Xenopus tropicalis: one gene and its partner. The main gene of each other region encodes a partner of the protein of the gene in region 2 in a complex. Links are inferred from orthologs where the notes say so. Each region holds a gene or a part of one and is shown on either strand. Other genes may lie near its edges.

Evidence for each region. Proteins that work in one complex are often made in the same cells at the same time.
Region 1: the proteins of dnm1l (region 2) and mief2 are in contact, whole or in part, in a cryo-EM structure (PDB 5WP9), measured with the Homo sapiens proteins. The link is inferred for Xenopus tropicalis from reciprocal best matches to the Homo sapiens genes DNM1L and MIEF2. Residues at the interface, in NP_036192.2 of Homo sapiens: Asp190, Met191, Ala192, Thr193, Ser194, Leu197, Lys198, Ile199, Arg201, Glu202, Gly223, Thr224, Asp225, Asp228, Arg233, Val234; in NP_631901.2 of Homo sapiens: Val213, Asp214, Thr215, Val216, Arg218, Arg226, Leu230, Arg235, Val245, Gly246, Tyr248.

What each region holds. Positions count from the first base shown.
Region 1 is NC_030685.2:15,965,515-15,973,090, reverse strand, and holds the start of mief2 (mitochondrial dynamics protein MID49), read left to right. Parts: upstream 1-2,869; 5' UTR 2,870-3,011; intron 3,012-3,034; exon of another isoform or gene 3,035-3,098; intron 3,099-4,581; 5' UTR 4,582-4,594; coding exon 4,595-4,741; intron 4,742-4,953; coding exon 4,954-5,140; intron 5,141-6,328; coding exon 6,329-7,380; 3' UTR 7,381-7,576. UniProt on the Homo sapiens protein: Mitochondrial outer membrane protein involved in the regulation of mitochondrial organization.
Region 2 is NC_030679.2:4,797,892-4,805,214, forward strand, and holds the start of dnm1l (dynamin-1-like protein), read right to left. Parts: upstream 4,324-7,323; coding exon 4,162-4,323; intron 1-4,161. UniProt on the Homo sapiens protein: Functions in mitochondrial and peroxisomal division.

The sequences.
Region 1 (7,576 bases), on a different chromosome or scaffold from region 2:
CTCCTCCGAGAGTCAGCCACTGAGAGACTTAGTGAGTTGTAGTTCAGCTACAGGCAGCATTCCAACTCAATGGGCACTTTCCACCTCTTACTACTTGCCCCTCTAGGCCCCCAAACATGGTATAGCCCACAGCCCCACCCCCACCTTATTGCCTCACCACCTCCCTTCTGTCCCAGGGACGATTTACCCCTGTGGCTTTCTTGTCCCTTACCTTGAAGTCATTCCCACTCAGGTCTACCCCTCTGATGAAGGGCAGTACCCCGGTAGCCGCCATGATCCACTGCCCGGCTGCTCTCTCTCGGATTAGGGCACTGGCTATAGATAGCAGCAGGAAGCGGCCAGGACACGCCCCCTCCGGACAGACAAACTTGAGGCACCACGCCCGCTCAGCTTTCAGTCACTGCTCATTGACAACCAACCCCGGCGCGGAATGGACTCTCCGGCCACGCCCATTCCACCCTTTCATCGCCAGCGGCAGGTACTGACAAGCCGTCAGGAACACAGGCCTCTGATTGGTTGGAAGTGTGAGCAAGTGACAGGTCCGGCAGCACTGGGGAAACTATAGGGGGGCCCGGACAGCGGGGTACGCTCCCCCTGTAGTTTAACAAAATACCCCCTCTGCTACATAGGAGGCTGCAGGCTGAGTTATACAGGGAACTCTGAGTATCACTCATGTATTATAAGGGATACTGTACCCCCTACTGTAAATGATAAGGATATTAGCAGTCACTGAGGGGTTCTGTGCCCATATAAAGGCACAAGGCTGCAGGCTGAGTTATACAGGGAACTCTGAGTATCACTCATGTATTATAAGGGATAATGTACCCCCTACTGTAAATGATAAGGATATTAGCAGTCACTGAGGGGTTCTGTGCCCATATAAAGGCACAAGGCTGCAGGCTGAGTTATACAGGGAACTCTGAGTATCACTCATGTATTATAAGTGATAATGTACCCCCTACTGTAAATGATAAGGATATTAGCAGTCACTGAGGGGTTCTGTACCCATATAAAGGCACAAGGCTGCAGGCTGAGTTATACAGGGAACTCTGAGTATCACTCATGTATTATAAGGGATAATGTACCCCCTACTGTAAATGATAAGGATATTAGCAGTCACTGAGGGGTTCTGTGCCCATATAAAGGCACAAGGCTGCAGGCTGAGTTATACAGGGAACTCTGAGTATCACTCATGTATTATAAGGGATAATGTACCCCCTACTGTAAATGATAAGGATATTAGCAGTCACTGAGGGGTTCTGTGCCCATATAAAGGCACAAGGCTGCAGGCTGAGTTATACAGGGAACTCTGAGTATCACTCATGTATTATAAGGATAATGTACCCCCTACTGTAAATGATAAGGATATTAGCAGTCACTGAGGGGTTCTGTGCCCATATAAAGGCACAAGGCTGCAGGCTGAGTTATACAGGGAACTCTGAGTATCACTCATGTATTATAAGGGATAGTGTACCCCCTACTGTAAATGATAAGGATATTAGCAGTCACTGAGGGGTTCTGTGCCCATATAAAGGCACAAGGCTGCAGGCTGAGTTATACAGGGAACTCTGAGTATCACTCATGTATTATAAGGGATAATGTACCCCCTACTGTAAATGATAAGGATATTAGCAGTCACTGAGGGGTTCTGTGCCCATATAAAGGCACAAGGCTGCAGGCTGAGTTATACAGGGAACTCTGAGTATCACTCATGTATTATAAGGGATAATGTACCCCCTACTGTAAATGATAAGGATATTAGCAGTCACTGAGGGGTTCTGTGCCCATATAAAGGCACAAGGCTGCAGGCTGAGTTATACAGGGAACTCTGAGTATCACTCATGTATTATAAGGATAATGTACCCCCTACTGTAAATGATAAGGATATTAGCAGTCACTGAGGGGTTCTGTGCCCATATAAAGGCACAAGGCTGCAGGCTGAGTTATACAGGGAACTCTGAGTATCACTCATGTATTATAAGGATAATGTACCCCCTACTGTAAATGATAAGGATATTAGCAGTCACTGAGGGGTTCTGTGCCCATATAAAGGCACAAGGCTGCAGGCTGAGTTATACAGGGAACTCTGAGTATCACTCATGTATTATAAGGGATAATGTACCCCCTACTGTAAATGATAAGGATATTAGCAGTCACTGAGGGGTTCTGTGACCATATAAAGGCACAAGGCTGCAGGCTGAGTTATACAGGGAACTCTGAGTATCACTCATGTATTATAAGGGATAATGTACCCCCTACTGTAAATGGTAAGGATATTAGCAGTCACTGAGGGGTTGGCAGAGTTGGTCTCTTTGCCCTGGAGCGCCTAAAAGTCCAGTAAGAGTTTCTAATGTGGAAATGAGGCCACAGACATACAACTTCATCCAATTAAATGAGCGTCCTTTGGCTTTCCAAGCATTCTGGGAATTGTAGCCAAGTACAGCTTTGTATGACTTGTAGGTCATATAAAAGCGCAGGCAGAATGTAAAGTGATTAGTAATCGGCCATTTATTGTGTGTGTATTGGCTATGCACTTCGTGCTCGCTTTTCATACTATCCTTATGGATTAACAGCTTTGTATGTATTTATATTGCAATTAAAATGTTCAAGAATCATATATAAAAGAAAGGGAGGGAACTACATCGGTACGTTTGGGTGGGCAAAGGGTTTTTTTTCCAGCAGCCTAAGGGTTAAGAAAAACGTCTTCCTTCCCTGGGAGCGCAGCCAAGTGACGTCTCACTGACGCTACAGTACCCGCATGCTGATTGGTTGTACGTGTTCGAGTATCTGAGTTTGTTTTTTTTATCCCCCTGTGGCTTGTTTTTAACAGAGCGACGCCTGATTGGCTGGTCACTCTCAAATTGTCACCGCTGATTGGTTGAGTTGGAGGTTAAGCCTCCCGATTGGCCTATGGCTTGTAAGGCTCCGCTGGACTGGGCAAAGGGCTGAACTTGAGAACTCCTGGTTATTAGTTGGTGCGGAGGAGCGGCGGCCTAGCCGAGTGTAGGTGAGTGCGGAAAGTGAGTTGCAGCTGGGAGCAGACTCGGGCGAGTGCTTGCTGTGCCCCTGTGGCGCTGTCTCTGGGTTTCCAGTTGTTGGTAACAGCGCGGAGTCCCCGGCCTGGAGGGATATGGGGGTGTCAGGGGGAGGTGTGGGGGTGTCAGGGGGAGGTGTGGGGTGTTTCCTTAGGTTAGTTGGGGCCCCTGGAGCTTGTCCCCCTGGGCTGTGGCGGTGGGGGGCTAGCTTGTCCCCCTGGGCTGTGGTGGTGGGGGGGCAGCTTGTCCCCCTGGGCTGTGGTGGTGGCGGTGGGGGGGCTAGCTTGTCCCCCTGGGCTGTGGTGGTGGGGGGGCTAGCTTGTCCCCCTGGGCTGTGGTGGTGGGGGGGCAGCAGCTTGTCCCCCTGGGCTGTGGTGGTGGGGGGGCTAGCTTGTCCCCCTGGGCTGTGGTGGTGGGGGGGCAGCAGCTTGTCCCCCTGGGCTGTGGTGGGGGGGGGGGCAGCAGCTTGTCCCCCTGGGCTGTGGTGGTGGGGGGGCTAGCTTGTCCCCCTGGGCTGTGGTGGTGGGGGGGCTAGCTTGTCCCCCTGGGCTGTGGTGGTGGGGGGGCAGCAGCTTGTCCCCCTGGGCTGTGGTGGTGGGGGGGCTAGCTTGTCCCCCTGGGCTGTGGTGGTGGGGGGGCAGCAGTTTGTCCCCCTGGGCTGTGGTGGTGGGGGGGCTAGCTTGTCCCCCTGGGCTGTGGTGGTGGGGGGGCAGCAGCTTGTCCCCCTGGGCTGTGGTGGGGGGGGGGGGCAGCAGCTTGTCCCCCTGGGCTGTGGTGGTGGGGGGCAGCAGCTTGTCCCCCTGGGCTGTGGTGGTGGGGGGGCAGCTTGTCCCCCTGGGCTGTGGTGGTGGGGGGCTAGTTTGTCCCCCTGGGCTGTGGTGGTGGGGGGCTAGCTTGTCCCCCTGGGCTGTGGTGGTGGGGGGGCAGCTTGTCCCCCTGGGCTGTGGTGGTGGGGGGGCAGCTTGTCCCCCTGGGCTGTGGTGGTGGGGGGCTAGCTTGTCCCCCTGGGCTGTGGTGGTGGGGGGGCAGCTTGTCCCCCTGGGCTGTGGTGGTGGGGGGCTAGTTTGTCCCCCTGGGCTGTGGTGGTGGGGGGCTAGCTTGTCCCCCTGGGCTGTGGTGGTGGGGGGCTAGCTTGTCCCCCTGGGCTGTGGTGGTGGGGGGCAGCTTGTCCCCCTGGGCTGTGGTGGTGGGGGGGCAGCTTGTCCCCCTGGGCTGTGGTGGTGGGGGGGCAGCTTGTCCCCCTGGGCTGTGGTGGTGGGGGGGCAGCTTGTCCCCCTGGGCTGTGATGGCGGTGGGGGGGGAAGCTTGTCCCCCTGGGCTGTGATGGCGGTGGGGGGGGAAGCTTGTCCCCCTGGGCTGTTGTGGGGGGGGGGGCAGCTTGTCCCCAGGCTTACAGAGACTTATAATATTACCACCACCACCCCCCCCCCCAATCTGCCATTAGTTGCCTCTGTCTCAGGCTTACAGAGAGGGAGGAGTTCTTTAGTACAACAAATAATATCTAGTTAGGGCTCATAATCCATCTCCTGACCATGGTGTTCTCCCTGTGCAGGGTGAAGATGGCAGAGCTGCAGGTCCGAAAGAAAGAAAAGAAGTCTGGCGATGGTATCGGAACAATGGTGGACTTTCTGTTGGCCAATGCCAGGCTGGTTCTTGGCGTAGGAGGAGCTGCCATGCTTGGCATAGCCACACTGGCTGTTAAACGGGTGAGTGGAGATTCCCTGCTTTATTTTGTGTATTGGGAGCCCATTGTGCTGCGTAGGGAGTAGCTGTGTGTTCCTGTAATATTACTGCACCGCATCTGATCTGGGTCGTCTGGCTCGATACCTGCTGCCCAGGGGTGGCCCCCCAGTGTATTGTTATGCCACTTTGCTCTGAAGCTCAGGGTGAGTTGCTTACACCTTGTGCCTTTCTGCAGCTGATCGATCGAGCGACTTCACCCCCCAGTGACAAAGAAGCGGAGGAGAAAGCAGAGCAGAAATCCATAGAGGAGAGTTGGAAAGAGGCCGTACTGAAGAAGGCTTCACCTACACTCCGAAGGAAGGAAGACCTTGGGCTTCATTGTGCTCCTTTATCTCTGCCGGATCCCAGCCAGCCAATCCCAGGTCAGAGCCATCAGTACAGGGGAATCCCTGTTCTGCCGAAGTTTTATGGTATCTCCCTGTACAGGCTATGAGCATACTTAGGGGGCTGTTCCTGCTGAATTGTGCTTAGTACAGGGGAATCACTATGCTGCCATAGTTTTATGGTATCTCTCTGTACAGGCTATGAGCAAACTTAGGGGGCTGTTCCTGCTGAATTGTGCTTAGTACAGGGGAATCCCTATGCTGCCATAGTTTTATGGTATCTCTCTGTACAGGCTATGAGCAAACATAGGGGACTGTTCCTGCTGAATTGTACTTAGTACAGGGGAATCCCTATGTGCCATAGTTTTATGGTATCTCTCTGTACAGGCTATGAGCAAACTTAGGGGGCTGTTCCTGCTGAATTGTGCTTAGTACAGGGGAATCCCTATGCTGCCATAGTTTTATGGTATCTCTCTGTACAGGCTATGAGCAAACTTAGGGGGCTGTTCCTGCTGAATTGTGCTTAGTACAGGGGAATCCCTATGCTGCCATAGTGTTATGGTATCTCTCTGTACAGGCTATGAGCAAACTTAGGGGGCTGTTCCTGCTGAATTGTGCTTAGTACAGGGGAATCCCCATGCTGCTCTAGGTTTATGGTATCTCTCTGTACAGGCTATGAGCAAACTTAGGGGGCTGTTGCTGCTCAATTGTGCTTAGTACAGGGGAATCCCCATGCTGCTGTAGGTTTATGGTATCTCTCTGTACAGGCTATGAGCAAACTTAGGGGGCTGTTCCTGCTGAATTGTGCTTAGTACAGGGGAATCCCTATGCTGCCATAGTTTTATGGTATCTCTCTGTACAGGCTATGAGCAAACTTAGGGGGCTGTTCCTGCTGAAATGTGCTTAGTACAGGGGAATCCCTATGCTGCCATAGTGTTATGGTATCTCTCTGTACAGGCTATGAGCAAACTTAGGGGGCTGTTGCTGCTCAATTGTGCTTAGTACAGGGGAATCCCCATGCTGCTGTAGGTTTATGGTATCTCTCTGTACAGGCTATGAGCAAACTTAGGGGGCTGTTGCTGCTGAATTGTGCTTAGTACAGGGGAATCCCCATGCTGCTGTAGGTTTATGGTATCTCTCTGTACAGGCTAGGAGCAAACTGAGGGGGCTATTGCTATTCTCGTGGGGTTTATAATGCCCTTACAGTGTTTCTGTTCATCCATACAGAGGCAGCTGGCACGGTGCAGGATAAAGCGCCCGATGAGATGAAGAAGATTCCCATTTGCTTCACGCTGCAGGAGCGGCTGCAGGACTATCACTCACGCCACGCCAGTGTCCCGGAAGCGCAGAGGGAGGAGGCCAGGCAGCTGGTACTAGATATAAAGGCAGAGCTGCAGGGCTTTCTGCGTGCCAAGCTGCCCGAGATACCCTTCCTTGCCCTGCACCTTGGCGGCTCTCTGGGTAACCAACTCCCTGTGTCCTGCTTGGACCATGCCTGCCTGCTAATGCCTTTGGTTCCGGAGCCGGATTTGTGGTGTTTTATTCCAGGACAGCAAACGATCCTCAGCGACCCCAACTTCTGCATGGTAAAGAGGACTGACCTGGAATACGCGGCGCGGGGGAGCAGCCCCTGGGACAGGTTTCTGGTGGGTTCCTACCTTTCATCCAGGACCATCGTGCAGCTCTTACACAAGACCATAGTCGGGTCCATCAATTGGCCGGCCATAGGGACGGTACTGGACTGCACCATTAAACCAGACATCACCTCTGCTGAACTCAAGCTGGATGTGGCGCACCCCAACGTTCGGATGATTATTCGGATCCTACCGATGGTGGTCATTAAAGATGCCGAGCTTCTCGCCCATTGCAGCGCCGACGCTCCCGCCGATAACCTTTGGCAGCAGACTTTCTACAGGCAGGAAATCTCTCGGCTTCAGGAACTGGACAACTCCGAGTCGGGCATCCGGCTGCAGTGCTTCCAGATACTGAAGGGGATCTGTAGGGACTGTCCTGCCCTCTGCCATCTCACCTCCACCCACCTCAGGCACATCATCTTACACCTCAGTACAGAGACACCTGATTGGACAGAGGCCACTCTGGCTGACAGATTCCTTCAAGTACTAGAGGAGTTGATTGGTTACTTGGATAAAGGTTTCCTTCCTTCTTATTTCAATGACAAATTAAACTTGTTCTCTGCTCTAAAAGCCGAGGACATCGACGAACTGGGGTACGGCCTGTACCAAGTATTTTCTGAGCCCGATGCCCTCTTAAAGAGATAGGTACCTGCTCTAAGCACTGGAATCATTGCAGTATAGGTTGCCTTTTAAGGGGCCCTGATGGGGTGGCAGTTGGCAGGAAGGTGTCTGAGGGATTCTCATCAGCATTTGAGCTCCACTTCTTACAAGAGATTGTTCCGTGTCTTCCTGAGCACCTTCCATTTACTCCACTCAGCGGGTAAGATAGAAGTAATGATTT
Region 2 (7,323 bases):
TTAAGGCACAATTTTCAGGCAGGAAAAAAAAAAAACAGCCCCCTAAGTTTGCCAATTTAAAGGCCTGTACAAGAGGAAAAGGATTTACCAATTAAAATTCTATTTGGCACCCATAGGGGATTTCCCTGCGTACTTAAAAGCACAAATTCAGGCAGGAAAAAAAAACAAGGGCCCCCTTAAGGTTTGACCCATTAGGCCTTGTTACAGAGAGATTTTACCATAAAAAAAAAACTGATGGCACAAAGTTGGATTTTTTTCCCCTGGTACTTAAAGCACAAATTCCAAGGCAGGAACAAGCCCCCCCTAAGTTTGCCGATAGGGGGCCTGTCAGCAGAGAATTTACCATAAAAAACTTATGGCACATTAAGGGTATTTTTGCCCCTGTACCCTAAGCGCACCAATTTTTCAAAGCAGGGAAAAAAACAGGCCCCCCTTTTTAAAGTTTGCCCATTAAGCCGTACAGAGAAAAGATTTACCATTAAAAACTAGGGCAACATAGGGATTCCCCTTTGTACTAAAGCCACAATTCAGGCAGGAAACAAGCCCCCATTAAGTTTGGCCCATAGGCCTGTACAGAAGGAAATACCATAAAAACCTATTGCACATAGGGATTCCCCCCGTTAACTAAGCACAAATTTTCAGCAGGGAAACAAAAAGCCCCCTAAGGTATAACCACTTGCTTATTTTTTAAAGGGGGACGGGATTGAGGAAAACCCCAACTAAATCCCTTTTTTGCCCCAGAGGGAACCCCACAAATTTTTTTTTTTGGCCGCCATTTTTTTTTACAGTTACATTTACAGTTACATTTGCAGCTGTTCCAATATTAAAGTTGCTTTTAAAGAACAGCGCCCCACATTAAGGCCTTGCTGTATTTGCAACAAGCTGTTAGGCGAACAGGAAAATAAACATTTCAACCCCAAACAGGCATTGGAAAAAAACCAGGGCACAGTAGTCCTCAAAGTTTTGGGAAAAACTTTTACAGGGCTCCCCAGCATTTCCTTCAGTTCAGGAAAAAACATGAAATTTCCCACTCTAATTCAAGCTTTGTTAATGTCGAAAATACAGAAAATCCCCCCCCCTCCCCAAAGCATTTAGTGGAGTAACGTTTATGTAAAAAAAATTCAATGGACTCTTTGCTGGATTTAAGTCTTCAATTAAATGGCTCGACTTGTTTGGAAATTTCAAATGCCCTGCCCAAGCAGCCTGGTGGGGGACTTTAAGGGAGTTCTGGCTAACGAGAACTGTTCCTAACCATCCCCAATTTTACCCCCGGGCCCCTGGATCGCTTTCTCCACCCATTTGGGAGATGAAAAAAAGGGAAATGAAAGCGCCCCCAAATCCCCCAGGGGCTGGCAAAAGAAAGCTTAAATTTTGTTTTGCCAGAACATTCCTCTCTTGTATTATTCTGTATTATTTACCATATGGGTAAGGGTCCAATAAAAGCGTTTTTTCCCCTTAGGGGACAAGTACCAAGGGTAATGGGGTATACAAAAGCTTTTATTGTGTTTGGCCCAGAACATTCCCCTTTCTCTTGTTTATATTGTATTAACATATGGTAAGGGGGGTTTGCCATAGTGTTTTTCCCTAGGGACAGTTAACAGTAATGGGGGTTACCAGGGCATTAATTGTTTTGTGCCAGGAACATTTTCCAGTTCTTCTTATAATTGTGTATTTATAAACATTTATGGGGTAGGGGGTTGCCATAGGTTTCCCCTTTAGACAAGTTTTACCAGTTAATGGGGTTACAAAGCTTATTTGTGGTGGGCCCAGGGAGCATTTTCCTCTCGTATATTGTTATTTATTTTTTACATATGGGGTAAGGGGTATGGCCCATAGTTTTCCCCGTTAGACAGTTTACCAGGTTATGAGGGTACCAGGCTTATGTGTTGGGGCCCCAAGGGGAAACATTCCTTCTCGTTATATTTTTTTATTTTATTGACAGCGCCTCGGGACAGAAGGAAAACAAGCGGTCCCATAGAAACCGGGTTTCTTGTGAATTGGGGGGCAAGGTCCTGGTTCCATTAGGGTTTCCTGGGAAAAATCCTGGTTTTAAGGAAAAATATATCAATTATTGCCCCAGTTTCTGGCAACCGAAGGCAAGCTTTTTCAGCAACCCCCCTTGTCCCAAACCCAACTTACAAGCTTTTTTCAGGGCCGCCCCCCCTGGGTTTCACCCAACTTTACAAAGCCCTCCCAGGCGGCCCCCCTGTTTTTTCAACCCATCTTAAAACCAAGCTCAGGCGCCCCCCCTGTTACCCACTTTTTTAACAGCTTTTTCAGGCAAACCCCCTGGTCACCCAACTTAACCAGCTTCAGCCAACCCCCTTGTCAAAAACCCCACTTTTACAGCCTTGTCAAGGCCACCCCCCCTGTTTACCCACTTACAGCTCAGGGCAAACCCGGCCGTGTTTACCCCAAAATTTACAAGGCTCAGGCGCCCCCTGTTTTTCAACCCACATTTTACAGGCTTCAGGGCCCAACCACCTCTCACCCCAACTTTTTACCAAAAAGCTAAAAGGCAGCCCCCCTGTCACCCACTTACCAAAAGCCCTTTCAAGGCCAAAACCCCCCTGTACACCCACTTACAGGCCTTCAGGCGCCCCCCCTGTCCACCCCACTTACCAAAGCTTCCCAGGGGCAAAACCCCCCCCCTGTCCACGCCACCCTTACAAGCCAAGGGGGGCACGCCCCCTGTCAAAAAAAACCCCACTTAACAGCTTCAGGCGGCCCCCCCTTGTCCAACCCACTTTTTAACAAGCTCAGGCGCCCCCCCCCTGTTTTCCAACCCACTTACAAGCTTTTTCAGGGGCACCCCCCCTTGTTCAACCCACTTTACAAAAAGCTTTCAGGCCCGCCCCCCTGGTCAACCCACTTTGTACAGCCTCAGGGGCAGCCCCCTCTCCACCCAAACTTTAACAAGCTTCAGGGCTCCCCCCTGTTCACCCCCACTTACAGGCTTCAGGGGCACCCCCCCTTGTCACCCACTTTAACAAAGCTTCAGGCGCCCCCCTGGTTTACCACCCAACTTACAGGGCTCAGGCGCCCCCCTGTCACCCACTTACAAGCTCAGGGCCGCCCCCCCTTGCAACCCACCCTTACAAAGGCTTTCAGGGGCACCCCCCCCTGTCCACCCCAAAACTTTACAGGGGCACCCTGGGGGGTTCTAGATAAAAGCCCCAAATATTGAAATTGGTCCTTTGGCCCATAAAATGGACTGAAAATGGGGCCTAGTTTATGAATGAGATTCGGGGCCACAAATCTATAAGAAAGAGTTAAAATTAAGCAGGACACCCTGGGGTTATTTTTTAGGAGGGAATTTTGCCCCTAAGAAACTATGACTTAAAAAGGGGGGAAAGGGGGGCAGGTTCTGGTTAAGTAAAGAGGTTTCCTGGGGGGCAAAGGCTGAGGGGCTCCTGGTTATGGAAGATTCCCAATGGGCTTGGAAACCAGGGGGGGGACCCCTGAAGGTTTACCAAAAGGGATGGGTTTAAGGTTTCTTCTTTGGCCCCCTAAGGGGCAAATTAAAATATTTGAAATGGGGGAAAAAAGGGGGGGGGGCAGGTTTACCCTGAGTAAAAAAACAAAGGAATTTGTAGGTTTTCCATAATTTGTTGAAATTGGGAAAAGGAAACAGGGGGGCCGAAGTTTGATTGGGGACCAGGTCTTGATAATTAAAAGAGGTTCTGGGGCAAGCTTGAGAAGGAAGGGCCCAGAAGGAGGGTTTTTAATCCCCAGAAGCAGGGCCGGGGGGATACAACTGGGGGGTACATTATGGGATAGCTTGACCCCCACTGAAATTGGCAGGGGGGGGGGCCCCATTTTATTCTGGTTTGCGCGTGGGTCTCCAGCCAAAACTGGGAGGGCAGCCGGTAAAATTTCCCAATCAAAGGCCCCGCTTTCCCCACAACACCCCAACAGGCCTTCCTCCACCCTGGAGTTTCCCCCAAAACGCACCACGATCTTGCGGCAAGCTGGAATAAAAACAAAATTTCCCGGGGACCCCCAAACCGTGTTTGAAACACATCCTGCAGCGTTTTGTTAATGAACCAAGGAATGAAAGCCGGCCCTCCCATGGCCGGGGAACTCCTCTCAACACCAAGCCGGGCCCCTCCCGCTTAAGCGGGGGGGGGGGGGACCAATTTCAGGCAAATGCACCCCCACCAAGGGGGCCTGTGCGGTATACCCAGAAAAGGCCGGGGCCCAACAGGCCACGAAGGAAGCCCAGGGTTTTTGGGCGGGCATGTGGGCGCGGGCCGCTAGGGCGCGCTGGGAACGGGGATATGTAAGTTCGCTGAAGGAGGAATGGCGGGGCACGGCGGCCATATTTACTGTGGTTCAAGCAGTTGGACTTTCTTATTAAGGGGCAGGGTACCCCCTCAGAAATGAATTTTGTTCAGTTTGACTTAGGCGTAACGGCAGGGGCCATGAAGGGAAAAAAAAAAAAGCTAGCCCATTTTTCCCGGTATTTCCCAGTCAGGAAAAAAAGCTTTCTAATTGGGTAAAAAATCTCTTGGCCCCGGAAGGGCCAAACATATTGGGCGGGTCCTTCCTTCTGGGATCTCTTGACCGTTTCATTGGACTGGTCAAGGAAACAGGAAAGTGCTTGGTTAGGAAAAGGGGTTTTCCCCTTGGCTGTTGAACATTTGGGGAGTGGGAGGCTTTGGGGGGTGCTTGCACCCTCTCAGGGCGTTGGGCCGGGGGTTGGCCCCTTCTAAAATTATAAATAAGAAACGTATAATTTTTAGGGGGAAAAATGGGGGAAGGGGACACCAACCTTTCAAGTAGATAGTAATAATCGTATTTATTATAAAATGTGTACAGAGTAGGGGGCTTGGAATGAAATGGGGGGGGAAAAAGCGCCCCAAATCTTTTGCTTTATAATTCAAATAGAAAAATCAAGTTTTTTTACGTTTTTTACCACAGGCAAGGAGGTTTGGGGGGTGAAATAATAATGAATTAAAAATTTACAACTGATGTAGGTTGCATATGCTGGAGGGTGTAGTTCAAAACAAAAAACCATTTTGCTGGGGGTCTTTAGAAGGAAAAAGTTGTAATAACAGATCCCTTTGGGGGGGGGGGGGGGGGGGACAAGAGACAGGTGAAAAAAAAAAAACCGCCCCCCCCAAATTATTTTTTTACTAAATGGGAAAAACATGGAGTCGGGGGGCCAAAAGAAATGAATCTGTTTTCAACCCCCAAAAAATTGGGGGGACTTTAAATGGGGTTTCTAGTTATTAAGGAGATTTTTCGGGGCCCAAGATTCTTTTAAGGAAAGAGGCTTTAAAATTTGGGGCAGGACACCCTTTGGGTATTTAGAGAGGGGGATTTTTTTACCCCCCACGAGGGTTTAATAATTATGGCAGTTCTGGTATTAAAAGAGTAGGTTTCTGGGGGGGCAAAAGCGGGGGGGCTTTGATTTTTAACCCTGATCCCATTGGGACTGGGACAAAGCAAAAAACCATTAAGTACCCATGGGGGGTGTAGGTTTTTCTTGCCCCCAAGGGGGGCCAATTTTAATATTTGGAATCCAAAGGGGGGGCAAAAAAACAAACTGGAACAGGCCCTTTATTACCCTGAGGTACAGGGTTGGAATGTCTTTGGCCCATAAATGACTATATAGGTCTAGTAATAATGAGGTTCGGGGCCACAAATCTGTAAGAAACAGTTAAAATTAGGCAGGGGTATTAGGCGGGATTTTTGCCCCCACAGGGGTTAAAATTTTAAAAAAAAAAACTATGACTTAAAGAGGAGGGGGACAAGGGGTTCTGGCTTATAAAACGGTAGGGGTTTCTGGGGTAAGCCGGGGGGGGGCCTCCTGTTATTTGCAAGGATTTTTTTTTTCCATTTTGGGCTGGGAAAACCGGGACCCACTGAAAGTAAACAAGGATGTAGGGGTTCTTGGCCCCCCCAAAAGGGGCAATAATATTGAAAATGGAAAGGGGGGGGCTTTGAAGTCTGGTGTTAGGTTTTTTTAAAACTTTTGCCCTGGGGAGGTCCGCAGACTGGGTAACATGGGGGGGGCCCACTTGGAAGGGAAGGTCTGAAAAAAAAAAAAAAAAAAAACCCCCAACCCTTTTTGGGGGGGGGCTTAGTAGGGGCTATGTTAGATTTGGCAAAAGCCCAAAGGGGCAGGGGAGGGGCCCCACAGGGGATTTTTTCCTGCTTCCCACTGAATGGGGCCAGGGGGCCCTATTTGCAACAATGGGGGTGGGGGTATTGGTGGGTTAGGGGGTAGGTTAAAAATGTGGGGTTAGGCTGGGGGCAAGGGTTAACCCATGGATTGTGGGGTATGGTTGGGTAGGGGGGTTAGGAAATGTGGGGGGTAGCTGGGGCAGGGTTTACCCATGATTTTTGGTGGGTATTGGGGGTGGGTAGGGGGGAAGGTAAAATGTGGGGTAAAAGGCTGGCAGGTTAAGGCCATTGATTTTTGGGGGTATATTTGGGTGGGGTAGGGGGTAGGGGTAAAATTTGGTGAGGGTAGCCTGGCAGGTAAACCCATTGGATGTTGGGTTAATGTGGGGTGGTAAGGGGTAGGAAAAATGTGGGGTAAAGCTGGGCAGGTTTTTACCCCATTGATTGTGGGGTATGGGGGGTATGGGGGTAGGTAAATGTTTGGGTAAGCTGGGGAGGTAAACCCCATGATTTGTTGGTAATTTGGTGGGTAGGGGGTAGGTAAATGTGGGGTAGCTGGGGCAGCTAACCCCATTTTTGATGTGGGGGTATTTGGGTGTAAGGGGGTGGTTTTAAAAAAAAATTTTTGTGGGTAGCCTTGGGCAGGGAAGGCCATGATGTGGTGGTTATTGGGGTTGGGTTTTTTAGGGGGTAGGTTAAATGTTGAGGTTTAGGCTGGGCCAGGTATTCATGATTGTGGGTATTTGGGGTGGGGTTTAGGGGTAGGTTAAACTTTTTGTGGGGTTAGCGGGCAGGTACCCATGATGTGGGTATTGGGTGGGTAGGGGGTAGGTAAATGTTTGGGTTTTTAAAGGCTGGGCCCAGGTAGCCATGATTGTGGGTAATTGGGTGGTAAGGGGGTAGGTAAATGTTGGGTAAGCTGGGGGGGCAAGGTAAGCCCATGATGTGTTGGTTAGTTGGGTGGGGTAGGGGGGTAGGAAATTGTTGGGGGTAGCTGGCAGGGTAGCCATGATGTGGGTATTGGGTGGGTTTTGGGGGTAAGGTAAATTTGTGGGGGTAAGCTGCGGCAAGGTAAGGCCATTGATTTGTGGGGTAATTGGGTGGGGTTGGGGGGGTGAGTTAAAAATGTTGGGGGTAGCGGCCAAGGGTATTCATTTTGATGTGGGGGTATTTTTGGGGTTGGGTTGGGGG